2 linked regions of the Mytilus edulis genome follow. The protein of the gene in region 1 purifies or fractionates together with the protein of each later gene. This does not show direct contact. Links are inferred from orthologs where the notes say so. Each region holds a gene or a part of one and is shown on either strand. Other genes may lie near its edges.

Region 1 (7,592 bases):
ATTAAGATACTGTTGTCAGGTCATTAAAGGATTGCATATGTTGGCTTTAATATTGATTCACTGATAGGGTCTTTGCATTGGAATTAAACACATTTATTTTAAAACTAGTTGTTGGCATGACACGGGTTATGTTTTTTTCATATATTTATGATGGTATAATACTAAACCCCTAACGGGAGGGATTGTGCCTGATATTCATATGATGAAGACATAATCTTTCAATCAGTTTAATTGAGGTCTGGAGCTGTCATATCAGTTAACTGCTAGTAGTCTGTTGTTATATGTATTATTGTCATTTTGTTTATTTTCTTTTTTGTTACTTCTTCTGACATCGGACTTCTCTTAAACTGAGTTTTACTGTGCATTTGTTTTTTCGCTAGAGGTATAGGGGGAGGGTTGAGATCTCAAAAAACATGTTTAACCAAGCCACATTTTTGCACCTGTTCCAAGTCAGGAGCCTCTGGCCTTTGTAAGTCTTGTATGATTTTTATTTCTAGTTTCTTGTGTATAATTCCGAGTTAAGTATGATGTCCATTATCACTGAACTAGTGTACATATTTGTTTAGGGGCCAGCTGGAGGATGCTTCCGGTGTGGGAGTTTCTCGCTGCATTGAAGACCCATTGGTGGCCTTCAGCTGTTGTCTGCTCTATGGTTGGGTTGTTGTCTCTTTGACATTCCCCATTTCCCCATTTCCATTCTCATTTTTAAGTGTGAAAATGTATGCACAATTCCAAATTTACCTTTTTTAGTGGGTACTCCATTTAGAAATTGGACTTCCCTGGGGACCATGTATGTTGATGTTAAATGGTGAACCTGTACTCTTAAAATTAAACTCACGTTAAAAATCCTCTTACAATAACTCTATTTTTTGTTCTGTTCATCTGTGAGTCATATGGGACTTCCAAAAACTACAATATAAACATAAATATTACTCCATTGTTACAATAAAATCTATAATTATCTGTGACCTTATGAAAATCGAAATCATTAAGTGCTATACATGTAATAATATTATGTTGATTGTTGGTGTTTGAACACCACTTTTTAGCACATATTTGGGCTATTTCTTGGTGGCCAGTTGTTATTAGTGGAGGAAGCCTGAGTGCCCAGAGAAAACAACAACCTTTGACAGTTATTCATAGGAAAACTGACAATCCTAGTCAATTAAGATTTGAGTTAAGTTGAGTGCACTTGCACAAGTGGGGTTCAAACTCGCAATTTCTGTGATGAATGGCTAGTGATAACAGTAGTAGAACTACTAAGACCACTTAGCCAATGAGGCACCTAGTAATATTATAGAAGGCCATTGTACTAATCACCAACACATCTGAGCACTTCAAAGTTAAATAATTAAAATCCTTCACATAAATACACCAACACAACTGCTTAAAACTAAAGTATGAATGAAACTGTTTTACTGGTAATTTGGTGGTTGATCAACAGGGATGTTGGGTTAAAATATGATTGTAGGAACAAAATCTCATAAAAAAGTTAACCCTTGAGGCCTAGGACTATAATATACTGTACCTGATTAGTGGCATTTGCTGAAGCTGAGGTAAGAGATGTACCCACAGTGGCAAACATAAAAGTCCAAAGGTCAAATGCACCTGGTGCTATAGCAAAACCTGCCATCTGTGTTAATACAACTAGTCCTAAAATAAATAATACATACACATGATCTATATTAAAATACAACCAGTCCTGAAAAAAACACATTACTCATGAACAAAACTAGCAATCAAAACTGTTTTAATACAACCAGTCCGGAAACAATGAATTATCGCTATTTTGTGCATTTTTCCTTTAATTTTTTTTGTGATAATTTTTCATATCATGCTTCATGTACTCGCTTGAGATGGAAAATTATGGCTAGAAACTCAGGAGGCGTGTAGCGTTGCTAATGAAATTGACAACGTCGTCATAGGCAAAATAGCGATAAACAGATTACCATTGATCATCTCAACTCGATTGCTTTTCTCGCTTTCGCCGTACTGGCTCAAGCAAGAAAGTTGAGATGATCAACAATAATCTATAATTACACATGAACAAGACATTTATCTAAACACTTTCTTACAAAATATTAGTACAAAAGATACATATATGCGAAAAACATAAGCTTTTAATATCGTTAAAGGTCCATAATATAAACTGTATGGGTCTATATCATTGTATATTTAACAACAAATATGCAAACCAATTGAATTTACAAATGGTTCAGTTCTAATAATATCAATAAGGACTTGGCTATTGCTAAAACAGTTCTATAATATATTTATAATTTTAAAATAACATTCATACACTATCATGACTGTATATGTCACAAAGGGACTACAAGTGATTCTATATTACCTGTTAATCTGATCTTTGATAACATTAAATAATGGTGTAAGAGTTTAGAATAATCAACTTTCTGTTCATGCCACGTCCAATCTACAAGTGATTCTATATTACTTGCTGGGCTCTCTGCCTTTCTGTCTCGTTTCAATTCATTTTGTATAAGTTTAAGTTTTTCTGGAGTCAGCCATTTTGGATTATCTCTAACAGTATCCTGTAACTGTACACCATTGATATCGAGTAAGTTTTCATTTAGATGAAGGAGTGTGCTAGAATGTTTATGATGTAACGATAATCCCTGATTAAGGATAGATTGATGGACAGTGGTCATATCTGGTTTTATTCTCTCTTCTTCAACATGGTTTGATTCTTTAAACACCCTCTGTGCTTTGGATGAAGCTGTCCTTTGAGCTAACTGTAACAATAAAACATAAATCATGTGATAATTGTAATATATATGTATACACACATACATTTTGTTTAGTATTGGAATCACAGGTACAATTCAAAATGCATTTATTTAAATAAAGGTTTAACAGTCATGTGACAGTTTATTGGTCATCATGATTTGATTGACTGGTCATTGATATCAAGGATGACCAGGAATATATATTATCTTATCTCTTGTCATCTTATATTGTTCATGATATTGCTGAATACAATTTATTACAGATTTTGCTTGCAATGATCATGAGTAACAAGATATATATATAAGTTCTACCTCTTCTAGAGCATCTCAGTTCAATCTATTTTTTTTATGGTTTATGTATAGTAAAATTGCAAATGAATTAAAGAACAATCCACAGAATGTAAAGTATGTAACTTTGTGTTTCCGTGTTGGTATATTTCTGAGCGAGTATACAAGTATTGTTAGATAAAACCAACGATTACTTGATTACATATATACACCATATTATATTTCTATTTGGAAATCTGTGCTGGTTGACTCGTGAATGAGGATAGGAATGCCCTTTACCGTCAGGTGTCAAACAGTCATTTTTGGCTATAGTAAGCGACAAATTGTTTAAAATTTTACTGTGCGTCGTCAAAATATTCTTATCATAATTTGTCAGCTCGGCCTAAAATAATTTTGTTAATGTGATTCACCAAAACAAGTTGATATTTTATCGTTATGCACCTAAAATTACTGTTAACGTTGTTTGACAAGAATTTTTACCATTGTTCGTCATGAAGGTGCCCCAATAGGGCTCTTCACGATTAGTTCGGCCATATTGGATAGGGGGCAGATTTTTAGGAAAGAGGTGGAAATAGTATGAAAGTGTGGGAAATCCTAAGCATGTTTCTAAGCAACTGCTCTGTAAAATGATGTGTTCCCGAATTTTCCACACTATTTTTACCTCCACTAAACACACTAAATTTAAAAAGTTTTCTATGAACTTGTCTGTTTTCTGCAAAGCATTTGTAAGTTATAAAATACATTGATAATATATTATTATTTAATAATCAATGTTTAAAAGTCACAAATATGTGCTTATATTAAAATTTCAAGTGTTATTCGGTCATTACAAGTGTTATTCGGATAATATCAGTGTTATTCGGTCATTCGTGTTACCCACTGTTCTGTTCTGTTCTGTTTGAGAAAATCCCTCCTTCAAAGGAGCACTTCGCACAATGACGAATAATGTTTATATATACATGTATAATTATATGTACCTAAAAAGACATACTACGTCCACTTTGAACTATGTTTATAAACTGGGATCAAGCCCACTAATATTTGACAATGAACAGGATGAATGACTACAGTCTAACATGTGTAAAAAAGCTAAAAAATTAATAATTCACAAATATGACTAATTTCATAAATGCAAAAATTTTATGAAAACGACATTAAACATACTTGTATACTCCACGAAGACTTTACACGTTGTGTAACCTCTAGATGTGACATGCATGACTTTGTTGACATTTGCAGTTGAAATAACTTCTTCTTGCCAACACTCCATCCTACTTTCATTATATGCATATCGATCGTTACATTAAAGTCATTTTCAAGTTTACGATGTATCTAAAAGCTACATTTTGTTATTTATAATATAAAACAACGTAGTTTATCGAGACGGTTTCTTTTTGCTGTTGAGTGGTTTCATGTTGTCCCTGTGAAGGTTCATCCTGTTACCAAAAAAATCAAACTTTACATAACAATATTTTATTTTGAAATGACCATTCAGATAAATGTATATAAGAAGTTTCGAACACATCATCTACAACAACCAAACATTTTTTACATGCTTTTAAAATGTTAAAAAAATGTATATAAAACGGAACATTCAATTTGGTATTAGTCAAACCTTGTGGAAAATGCTAAAAAAGGAAAACAGTTGAAAAAGACAAGTCAAGGTTGAAGTGTACAAAATTTTGAAGTTTCTGAAACTGACAGTTTATCCACCCTTATCATGCCTATCTATAAAACATATCATAACAAAAATTCACCAGAAAAAAATATTGCTTTAGGCTATCATGATAGTATTTTTCTCCTGCATAAAATTAAAAATTAATATGATGAAAACAAAAATTTATCATGTTTATTAGCAATACTACTACTTTATTTGTTTTAATAAATCTTATTTTTCTTGTTATACACCTTATTGCTATTTGTCCAGCATAACTGGACCCATGTTCTCATTAATTTTGACGTAATACAAAATATCTGATGCCATTTACATTATGGAAAAATTATTGTTGTTTTATACGGCTTATCGCCAATCCCGGCTGAACTTTTGATGCATACAACAATCACTTTTCCATTTTGGCGTCAGATATTTTGTTTTATGATGTCAAAATTTTACAGGAACCTGTGTGATATCTAGTAACACCGGACAAATAGCGATAAGGTGTATTATGACATCAATAGTTCAACTGTCGCAGATTCTCTGGGTCAACCTGCACAGATTTTAAAATAGACATATATGTATATATATTATCAGGTTTTCTACATATTGATATTGCAAGATATCAACTGCTAGATACAATGTGAACCTTTTTGGTAAGTGCATGAGCGCAGTGAACGACCTAAAAAGCTTCACAATTACCAGGCTTCTCACAAAAGAAATCTAAGTTACTCAATTTTATTACGGCACAATATATACACAAGACAAACAGATATATTTCACAGCACAGGACAAACACTCGACTGTACCACTGACAGTCACATATAACATGTAAAGTTAATGTTCAAGAGCAAATATAGCGTCTAGCCATTAGAAATGATAAATAAATTCATCCAAACAGCTCGAATAAACACATGAGCTAGCCACAGTATACACAAGCACATCTTAAAACTAAGTACACAAAATACATTAAAATTTATAACTAACACAGTTGTATGCGGCGGGTGGGAGGGTAAATAATTTCAATGAAAAATTTCAAATGTACCGCGAATCCCGAAACAAAGAAATATATAAGAGCGTCCTGTATCCAGGTAACAAATTGACCAATCAAAATAAGGAATACTCGGAACAATTTCTTCCGAGTAAATGTAAACAGTGATTCATGTGGTAATTATCCATTTTTATAAAATCAAAAATTACACAATTACCAGGCTTCTCACAAAAGAAATCTAAGTTACTCAATTTTATTACGGCACAATATATACACAAGACAAACAGATATATTTCACAGCACAGGACAAACACTCGACTGTACCACTGACAGTCACATATAACATGTAAAGTTAATGTTCAAGAGCAAATATAGCGTCTAGCCATTAGAAATGATAAATAAATTCATCCAAACAGCTCGAATAAACACATGAGCTAGCCGCCAAGCCAACGGCCGCCAAAAAATAAACAAACAACTGTGCTGAACAAAGAATTAAGCAGATTAATTTTAACTATCATATAAACAATACACAATTTAGCTTGTTAATCTAGCATGCAAGAAATAATATCAAGCAAAAACTAAATAATAAAAGCAAGCAAGGAAGAAACAATATCAACCCTGAACATAAACTTTTCTCCATACAAGAAACAATATCTCATATGAAAAGAAACCGCACCCAACAGTGTGAACAATACTCACTGAAAAGAGTCCCTTACCTGCAATATAAAATAAAAATATTAGTACATATTAATATAAATAAACCTAACTACATCTTAACCAAACAATCTTAAATAATACCAATACATATTAAGGAAAATAAAATAAAAAATAATCCAAATTTTAGTATGGAAGAAATAATATCAACCATAAACTAAAAAAACCCCAAAGGAAGTATGGTAGAAACATGAAATTCAACCATATCTAATCCTTTAACTCCACTTAAGAAATTCATCTCAAATGACAAGTTAACCTATCTAAATTAAATGAGCAACCCTTCTTTTAAAATATAAACCTAACTGCCTTGTACCTTCACAATTGAGATGTAACCCACCATCTTTATAGGCAAATAGCTCCACCTTTGGCTTTCCACATTTCAAAAAACATCTATACGAATGAATGAATTCGACTTCATAACTCAAACATAAATTTAACAAAGCCATATTAACATCCTTTATCTTCTTACCCGTTTCCTCAAAATCAACAGGACGAGGAAGAATACCAGACAAAGCAATAACCATAGAAGGAAACAATAACTTGGCGGTAGAAATTAAATTACAATAGGCAGACTTAAACTGATCAATAGATAAAATATGAATATCATTGGTACCACAATGAATAACTAAACATTTATAACCTCCATAAATACTCCCCTTGTTCTTGTTAAGCTGATAGGTTATTTCTCCAATGGAAGCCCCCCGAAACGCATAAACATCCGCATTCTCAAGCTTCACATATTTTGCAATTGAGTCTGACACTATCAGAAAAGTTCCTGGTTCTACAAAGAAACGATATAAATTAGTAACCTAACAAGGAAACACTCTTCGACATCATTTGCGAAACTTGAAGTTTCTGTTCCAAAGTAAATTCTAAATACTTTTTATAAGCATCACTATGCCAATCTCCATGAAGTTGAATTAATTCCGTAGAAACCTCAGCATGAAAAGCTAAAGTTGCCCCCCCTCTTCTAAAACTATGAGTAGAGTAAAATAAAGAGTTACGACCTGTTTTTTGTATTAAATATCGAAGCTTATTTTGATACTCTTTATAAGTAATGGGTAGAATGCGCCCCTTTTTAACTTTACAAAATAAATAATTTCAATGAAAAATTTCAAATGTACCGCGAATCCCGAAACAAAGAAATATATAAGAGCGTCCTGTATCCAGGTAACAAATTGACCAATCAAAATAAGGAATA
Region 2 (7,214 bases), on another chromosome or scaffold:
CCTACAAGTAAATATTCATAACTTTAATATCAACACAATAACTAAATGTTCATTGCACTAAATCATTTCACGAAATACGTCACTACATTATGAAAATAAGCAGATGGTATTCGTGTATGATTGCCAATGAGACAACTTAATAATCCACTTGAGTTCCAATTGATAGATAAGGTGTCAACTGAAAGTGGTCTGTGGACAAAGGAAACCTGGATAGAAAGCTTATCTGCATTATTTTATTGTAAATAGGTAAAGGTCAAATGAAATTAATTTATGTACATGTATCATTAATTATTAATTTAGAAGATGACTTTTTAAATATCAATATGAATTTGTATCTTATTCTTAATGACAAAATTGCAACGTTACTATTAATCTAAGTTACTCTAAGCATTCTTAAAACTGTTTCAGATTATTTTTAGAAAAGCTCAAATATATGCTAAATTCTATTGTTCCAAAATTTATATTCTATCATAACTTGTTTAAGGAATCTTGTTTACGAAAAAGTCCTATGTCTTTACCATGTTTATGATCAAAATTTATATAGGAAAGAATTTTTAAAAGTGTCACTTTTGAAATAAAAAAAAATTGAATATTTTTAGTCAGATTAAACTTTTGAACTAAATAACTACTTACTTGACTTTTTCCCTGAAGCATCTGTGTCAGGAGAAGGGGCACCTGTTGGAGAGTCTGCCATTTTGTTTTAATTCTAAAATATAACCATATAAAACATGAAGTCATCAGTTTTACCATGTTAAAACCTCCTTGAAATCTGTTTTCCAATGGGATTTGTTTGTACATTTTTTTGTACCCTAGCAGCTGCTCTATACAATACAATACAATATCCATTCATTTTTGTTAAAATCTGTACATATCAGACTTATGATTTTTTTAATGTTTTCCCATGATTCATTGCATCAAAGCAAAGAATGAACTCTGTTTCCTAAAAAGTTGGGAATAATGAACAATATGGACCATTTGATTCACATACATGTATCTATTAGAAATTGTTATTTACAACTGCAGTATTTATATCACATGTGTGTACAATGTGTCTCGATATGTGATTGATCTGTAAGTCACAGTTTTAGCTACATACATGTACATGTTGCTCAGCCAAAAAATTATTTACCTATACAAGTTTTAAAATAAAATACACTTGTATAAGTTTCCTATAAATTCATTATAAGCATATTAATATTTACTTCTTCAAGTAAATAAAAATTACTTGTACAAGTAGTACCCTTGACTGGGCCTAAATTAATATATTGTTTGTTTCCCCAATCCCAATCCTGCCAAGCCAGGTGTGGGTAAGTACATGAAGGTAGGGAAATCGTTTAACTTTTTCCAAAAAGCTGGAACAATATCGGTCGATCCCACAATCCTTCAAATTGGAAATGAATAAAATAATATTTTTCAGGGTCAGTCAGGATTGGGGAAACAAACAATATTGTATTTTAGGCCCTGGTTATTAGCATGATAAGTAAAACAACCATGCATCAATGACATTCAGGTAATAAAACATGAAAGATGTGTCAGAACAAAACATTATTACTGAGACTTTAACAGCACAAGCATAGACCTTATCCCTATTTGGAAATCTGTGTGACCATTGCTTGACCCTAGAATCTGCACACCTTGAACTATTGACAATCACATCATTCAACAATATCTTTTCCATTGTTACTTGTAACGTCAAATGTTTTTATTATGACCTCAAATTTTAAAGAAACCTTTGTAAAGTTCAGTAATCATGGTAATGACATACAAATCATAATAAGCAAAAAGGTGTATTGTGACATATGATATTTACAGAAAATGCATGAAATTCAATTAAAAAGTTGTCTTTTTACTTTTAGAAAATAACAAGAATGTGTCCTCAGTACACGAATGCCCCACTCGCACTATCATTTTCTATGTTCAGTGGACCGTGAAATTGGGGTAAAATCTCTAATTTGGCATTAAAATTAGAAAGATCATATCATAGGGAACATGTGTACCAAGTTTGAAGTCGATTGGACTTCAACTTCATCAAAAACTACCTCGACCAAAAACTTTAACCTGAAGCGGGACAGACGGACGAACGGACGAACGAACGGACGAACGGACGAACGGACGCACAGACCAGAAAACATAATGCCCCTCTACTATCGTAGGTGGGGCATAAAAATATAATTTGTAACCTTCAAGAGATCATTTCATAGAATACCTTCTTCTTCCTTTATAGTACAGGCCTTCCATTGGAGTATTATCGTACTGTTTTATGTACATGTTTTTGATTTGGGAACAACAAATGTGCGAGTAAGTGCGGATTATTTACAGTGAAAACGGTGCTTATCTTTAAAATAACGATAAAAACGAGGTTGTACATCTATCGACTATCGAAGCTGGACGGACACTTGCACACCCCTTTTGAATGATTCAAGGGTTGTGCAGCTAACTATGTGTTGTGGCAGTCCATTCCAGATTCTGATGGTATCTGGGAAAAATGAGTGACAATATATTTGAGTCCTGGCAAAAGGAACTAGGAATCGTTCATTGTGTCCTCTTACTGTTGATATTTCTGGCTTTAAATTTGTAGTTGGTACCTGTCGCATAGTATCTGAGCAAGGATTTCTTACTATACAAATCCTAGTCCTATAGTATATGCCTTCGCATTATATATTCACTATTTAACGTTTTCATGCTGATATTTTCATTATACAAATCCTTGATCATCATCTGAGTAATTTCAAAAGTGTATTTAACTATCGTTTATGCTAATAAATAAATTAATTTTATTTAAGTAATATCTGCGTTTACTATGAGGAAAGTACCAAACAAACCTATGTAGGACATTAATGTATTACCTAATGTTAGGATTTGTATACAAATCCTTACTTCAGGCAGAGACATACATGTATAATACAAGAGATTGGCAACTCGGCAAAATCCCGTAATATCACACTGCCAGATTTAAACCTCGCGAGATCTCTTTGGGTAATAGAGTCATTATCAAAGTATTAAAAGTACTTGAAGTAAGGGCGAATGTGTAAGCATAAATTAACTGTTTCAGTGTTAAATTTAGTCTGAGATTACTCTGACGTCCAACAGCAGTTTTGCCAGACAAGCTGGGGCCGTGGGACGTCAGAGCCCGTCCCATATCAAAAAGTGGATATTTGCCCACCCAAAATAGATGCACTGCTTCGTCGCTTTAGGTGCCGACTGACGGCCTCAGAATTATATAAATCGGGCATCAATCTGTCCTACAGCCCCAGCTTGTCTGGCAAAACAGTCGTTGGACGTCAGAGTAATCTCGGACTATGTTAAATTTAACATAATTAAAATTAAATAATTTGAGTTCATACATAATTATTCATTTCAATGTCATTTAATTTTGATTTGTATTATTTATATTATCGAAAAAGAGACATAATTTGATATTGAATTTAAATTTTTTTAAAAAGGATATTAAATAAATAATACTTGATAAATTGTATTATATGGGCCCCAATAACAGTAGAAAAATCAATAAAAAAAATTTTTTTTTTTAAAATCTGGAAAATTTTCCCGAAATTTTTTATTGTACTAACATGACTAATGAACTCAAATTCGTTCAATTTTTTTTTGTCATGTTTTTTAATTTCCGGATCTGCGCAGAACGCAGAAATCTACTTCCTTTTTCCGGTCTTGTTGTCGTGAGACTTTGATTAGTCTAGTAAAATATAGGAACTCATCAAGGAACACAATACCAATATTTAATTTTTAATCATTCTTTGGCTTTGATATGAATAAACGTTACTGTATGCATTGCGTTATTTTGTTTACATTGAACATGACGTCATAACTTAAATAACGTCACAAGTAAAATCCCTAACAACAGAACCAAAATCGGAAACGTTACGGTATTTCCGTTTCTTTTTTTCACAAATATTTTAAAAAGTTACAAAAAAAAAATCATACAGACTTCGTCCCCATTCACAGGTAATGCCTGCCTCATATTATGTCTCTGCTTCAGTTCAGGGTAAACCAATTTCAAATTTTAGCTTGAAAAAAGCAGAAACTACTTGCATGATTTCAAATTTTTATGAGTATTCAAATTAGTCATTCAAAAGAATTATTCATGGGACATTTGTGTTATCATAAAGAGCTAAAGTTACCAATTAATGTAAATTCAGGCACCCACTGTTTACAATTTCCGTGGTTACTAACTCCGGAAGTAAATTTGTATGAGAAGGGGAAATAAGCAATAGTGACTTCCGGAATGGCTAACTTCATGGATTTCAACGTGCAGATTAGCGAGAAGCAACATTTAGCCAAAACACTTGCTATGGCAGCAAAATGTAAATATCATATCCTTGTTAAATCAAAATAAGAAATAAGATTCTTCTCTGGCAAAACTTGTGTGTTTATGAAATCATAGCAACATTACTCCAGTTCAGTTGTCCCGACCTAGTCCAAATAAATTATGTTTTCGAGACGTTTTGGCCATACACCACTTCGGCCTTAGTCGTTTCGACCCATTATTCCCTTTTCTTAATTTCTGTGTCTTTCAATGTTTTGAATAAAAAATAAGAGGTCAGTGTATTTTTACTTTGCATGCTTTGTATGAGATAAGACTGATACATATATATATGAGGGTTTGGATGGGGTTGAATGATTAAAGAATAATGCCCTTAAAAATGAAGATTAGAGAGTAACGGGCAAAAAAATGAAGAATAGAGAAATGCATGGTCTAATTTTTTGAAGATTTGAGAAAAAAGGGGTTATTTTTTTTTAAAGATTAGAGAAAAAAAGGGGTGAAAATTAAATGTTTACAGAATAACAGACCCCCCCCCCCCCCCCCCTCCTCCTTATTTTATTATATTTTACAGTCTTAGCAAAAGGTAATGATGTTGTCCCATATTCTCAAAAATGGTTTACCTTTGATAAGTGATATTGGCCTAAAAATTGTACAATGTTAAACTATGTTAGCTAATATACCAGGCATGGGTTACCTGTCAAAGAGGAATATATATTGATCCATCAGAACAAACATGACAAAAGCATAAATGAAAAAATGACAATAAGACAGCTACCCAGCATCTTTCATTTGCAAGATTTTTGACCTCATCATTTATCTTTTATAACATTGACCAAGGACCAGCATATGAAATATGGCAGCTCTTAATTTTTTAACAAATATATTATTGTTAACTTCTGAATCTTTGAAATATAATAATATGGCAATGTGTCTATTTGAACATTTTAACAGTGGGCTATAGTGTTGCTGCTGTAAATCATTGTGCACCAAGTATAGACAGTATTGTAAAGAAAAAAAAAAAAGACAAAGATTATGTAAGTACTGTAATAAATTTGTATAGATATGTATACACACATGTGTAGACAGTAACAATTGTATATGTATAAAATATATAGATTCTTGTTAGAAAATGATGGATTTGAGAAATGATTCTTTTTTGCATCATTTACATGTAAATATGTCTCGCTGCGACATAGCCTTGTTGTGCTAATACAGCGTAAAGCAACCTACAATCAATGTAAATATATATGTGATAATTAGTGTATCTCAATTTTTTAATGTTTGCTATATGTTGAAAAATATGAATAATCTATCTTAAGATTTTAAAGAACTTGATTGCTAGGAACACATTCTTGATTCTTACCATATGCTTAAAGCATTTATATGTTTAAAAGAAGAAGAAGCTTTTACGTCAATGAGACGGCAACGTAAGGGCAAACAAAAACACCCAAAATTGGATGAAACTCAAAACAAGGATAAGAAACACACCAATTCTAACTGGCAATTATAACAGTCATCTATTTTGTAATGTTTATGCATTGTTCAGAAACAGATGCATATCATATGAATGTTTCCCATAGCACACTGTCAGAAGCAACATCTATTCTATAATTATTTTATATTACACTTTATTTTTCTTTTTTCCTTTGTGTAGCATGCAATTCCATTACCAGAAACTTTGAAAGTTGATGCAGAAACTTTAAAGAATATCATGGTGAGATATTTAGTTGAAATTCTGTGAAGACATCTCATTTTTGGTTGCCTGCTGCTCTGGAATTATTTAAGATTTCCTTACACTCAAGTATGTGTCTAAGAAATTTGAAAAGACAAAAATGATATGGGATGTACATGATTCTTGTAAAATCATTTTTTGTACCCCTCACCCATTTTCTCAAAATTTTGGCTAGAAAGACTGTCAGACTTGATTAATCGTAAAATTTGAGAACTGAATTACACAAAAACCATTCATTATAAATACACAATTTTTTCACAGAGTTATGTTTGATTATAATATTTTTAAAATTCATTGATATTTTCCTCTACAAGTATCACATGTTTAGGAAATAGTTCCTGAACGAGATTTCAAGGAGACTCAAACCTCAGAAGAATATGTCCTTAAGAATGAAATGAATACATTAAAAGTGGAATATAAATCACCAATAAATAATATAACAGATCACATCAACCACCAAATCCTAACCACTACAAGACAACAGATATACAAAAAAAAAAAAAAAACTTTGATCAATGCATATTCCAGGTAGCCTAACATTCTGACTTTAACAGTGCTTAATGAAAAATGACAATAAAATCTTTAGGGTAGGCTATTTTTAAGCCGAAAAAGTAGGGACGGTAGGGTTACTGGAACAACACATATATTTTTATTTGGCCTTACAAGCATCATTTCCGAAATTAGGTGGATTCAAATTGAAATCATTTTAAGAATACACCAACCTCTTATAAATATCTATCTAGACTGTATGTTTTTACACTATAAAAAAAGTCGGCTCAAGAAAGTTACAAACAGGATGACACTAAAGTCCAGAATTGGAAATTATGATAATATAAACATTGCTTTTCAGGCAGGAACAAAAAAATTCAGACAGTTATCAAGATTTAGTACCATAATGGAAGATGTTGCACAGCTACAAAAATTAGTAAGTTTAATTAATTCAATAGTATATATATATAGATCTCAATCGACTGACCATTAAAATCATTGACCACAACTCTGCTTGGTCTAAGGAGGATAGACTTGCTCTGGAAAGATTTTGGATCAGAAAATTAATAACTTTGGCACCAAATGGGATAAATTAAAAGGTGTAGTTCGACTCCGTGTAGTGCTTCACATTTGGGTTATATTACTTATTATTACAGTCTCTGTTTCTTTTTCTTAACCTTTTTCATTTATTAAATAAATTTGTTGAAGATACCA

The links.
Region 2: the proteins of ribonuclease P protein subunit p21-like (region 1) and ribonuclease P protein subunit p30-like purify together in Homo sapiens (co-immunoprecipitation; 3 studies listed by BioGRID and IntAct, counting the BioPlex papers as one, with this or other methods). This does not show direct contact. The link is inferred for Mytilus edulis from reciprocal best matches to the Homo sapiens genes RPP21 and RPP30.

What each region holds. Positions count from the first base shown.
Region 1 is NC_092352.1:3,031,749-3,039,340, forward strand, and holds the start of ribonuclease P protein subunit p21-like, read left to right. Parts: upstream 1-4,588; 5' UTR 4,589-4,696; exon of another isoform or gene 4,697-4,704; intron 4,705-7,592. Other genes in the region: protoheme IX farnesyltransferase, mitochondrial-like, read right to left, coding at 839-909, 1,529-1,653, 2,351-2,750, 4,197-4,322. UniProt on the Homo sapiens protein: Component of ribonuclease P, a ribonucleoprotein complex that generates mature tRNA molecules by cleaving their 5'-ends.
Region 2 is NC_092344.1:62,973,045-62,980,258, forward strand, and holds the start of ribonuclease P protein subunit p30-like, read left to right. Parts: upstream 1-4,199; 5' UTR 4,200-4,240; coding exon 4,241-4,319; intron 4,320-5,230; coding exon 5,231-5,313; intron 5,314-5,933; coding exon 5,934-5,993; intron 5,994-6,861; coding exon 6,862-6,936; intron 6,937-7,214. Other genes in the region: cilia- and flagella-associated protein 100-like, read right to left, coding at 1-1, 634-694. UniProt on the Homo sapiens protein: Component of ribonuclease P, a ribonucleoprotein complex that generates mature tRNA molecules by cleaving their 5'-ends. Also a component of the MRP ribonuclease complex, which cleaves pre-rRNA sequences.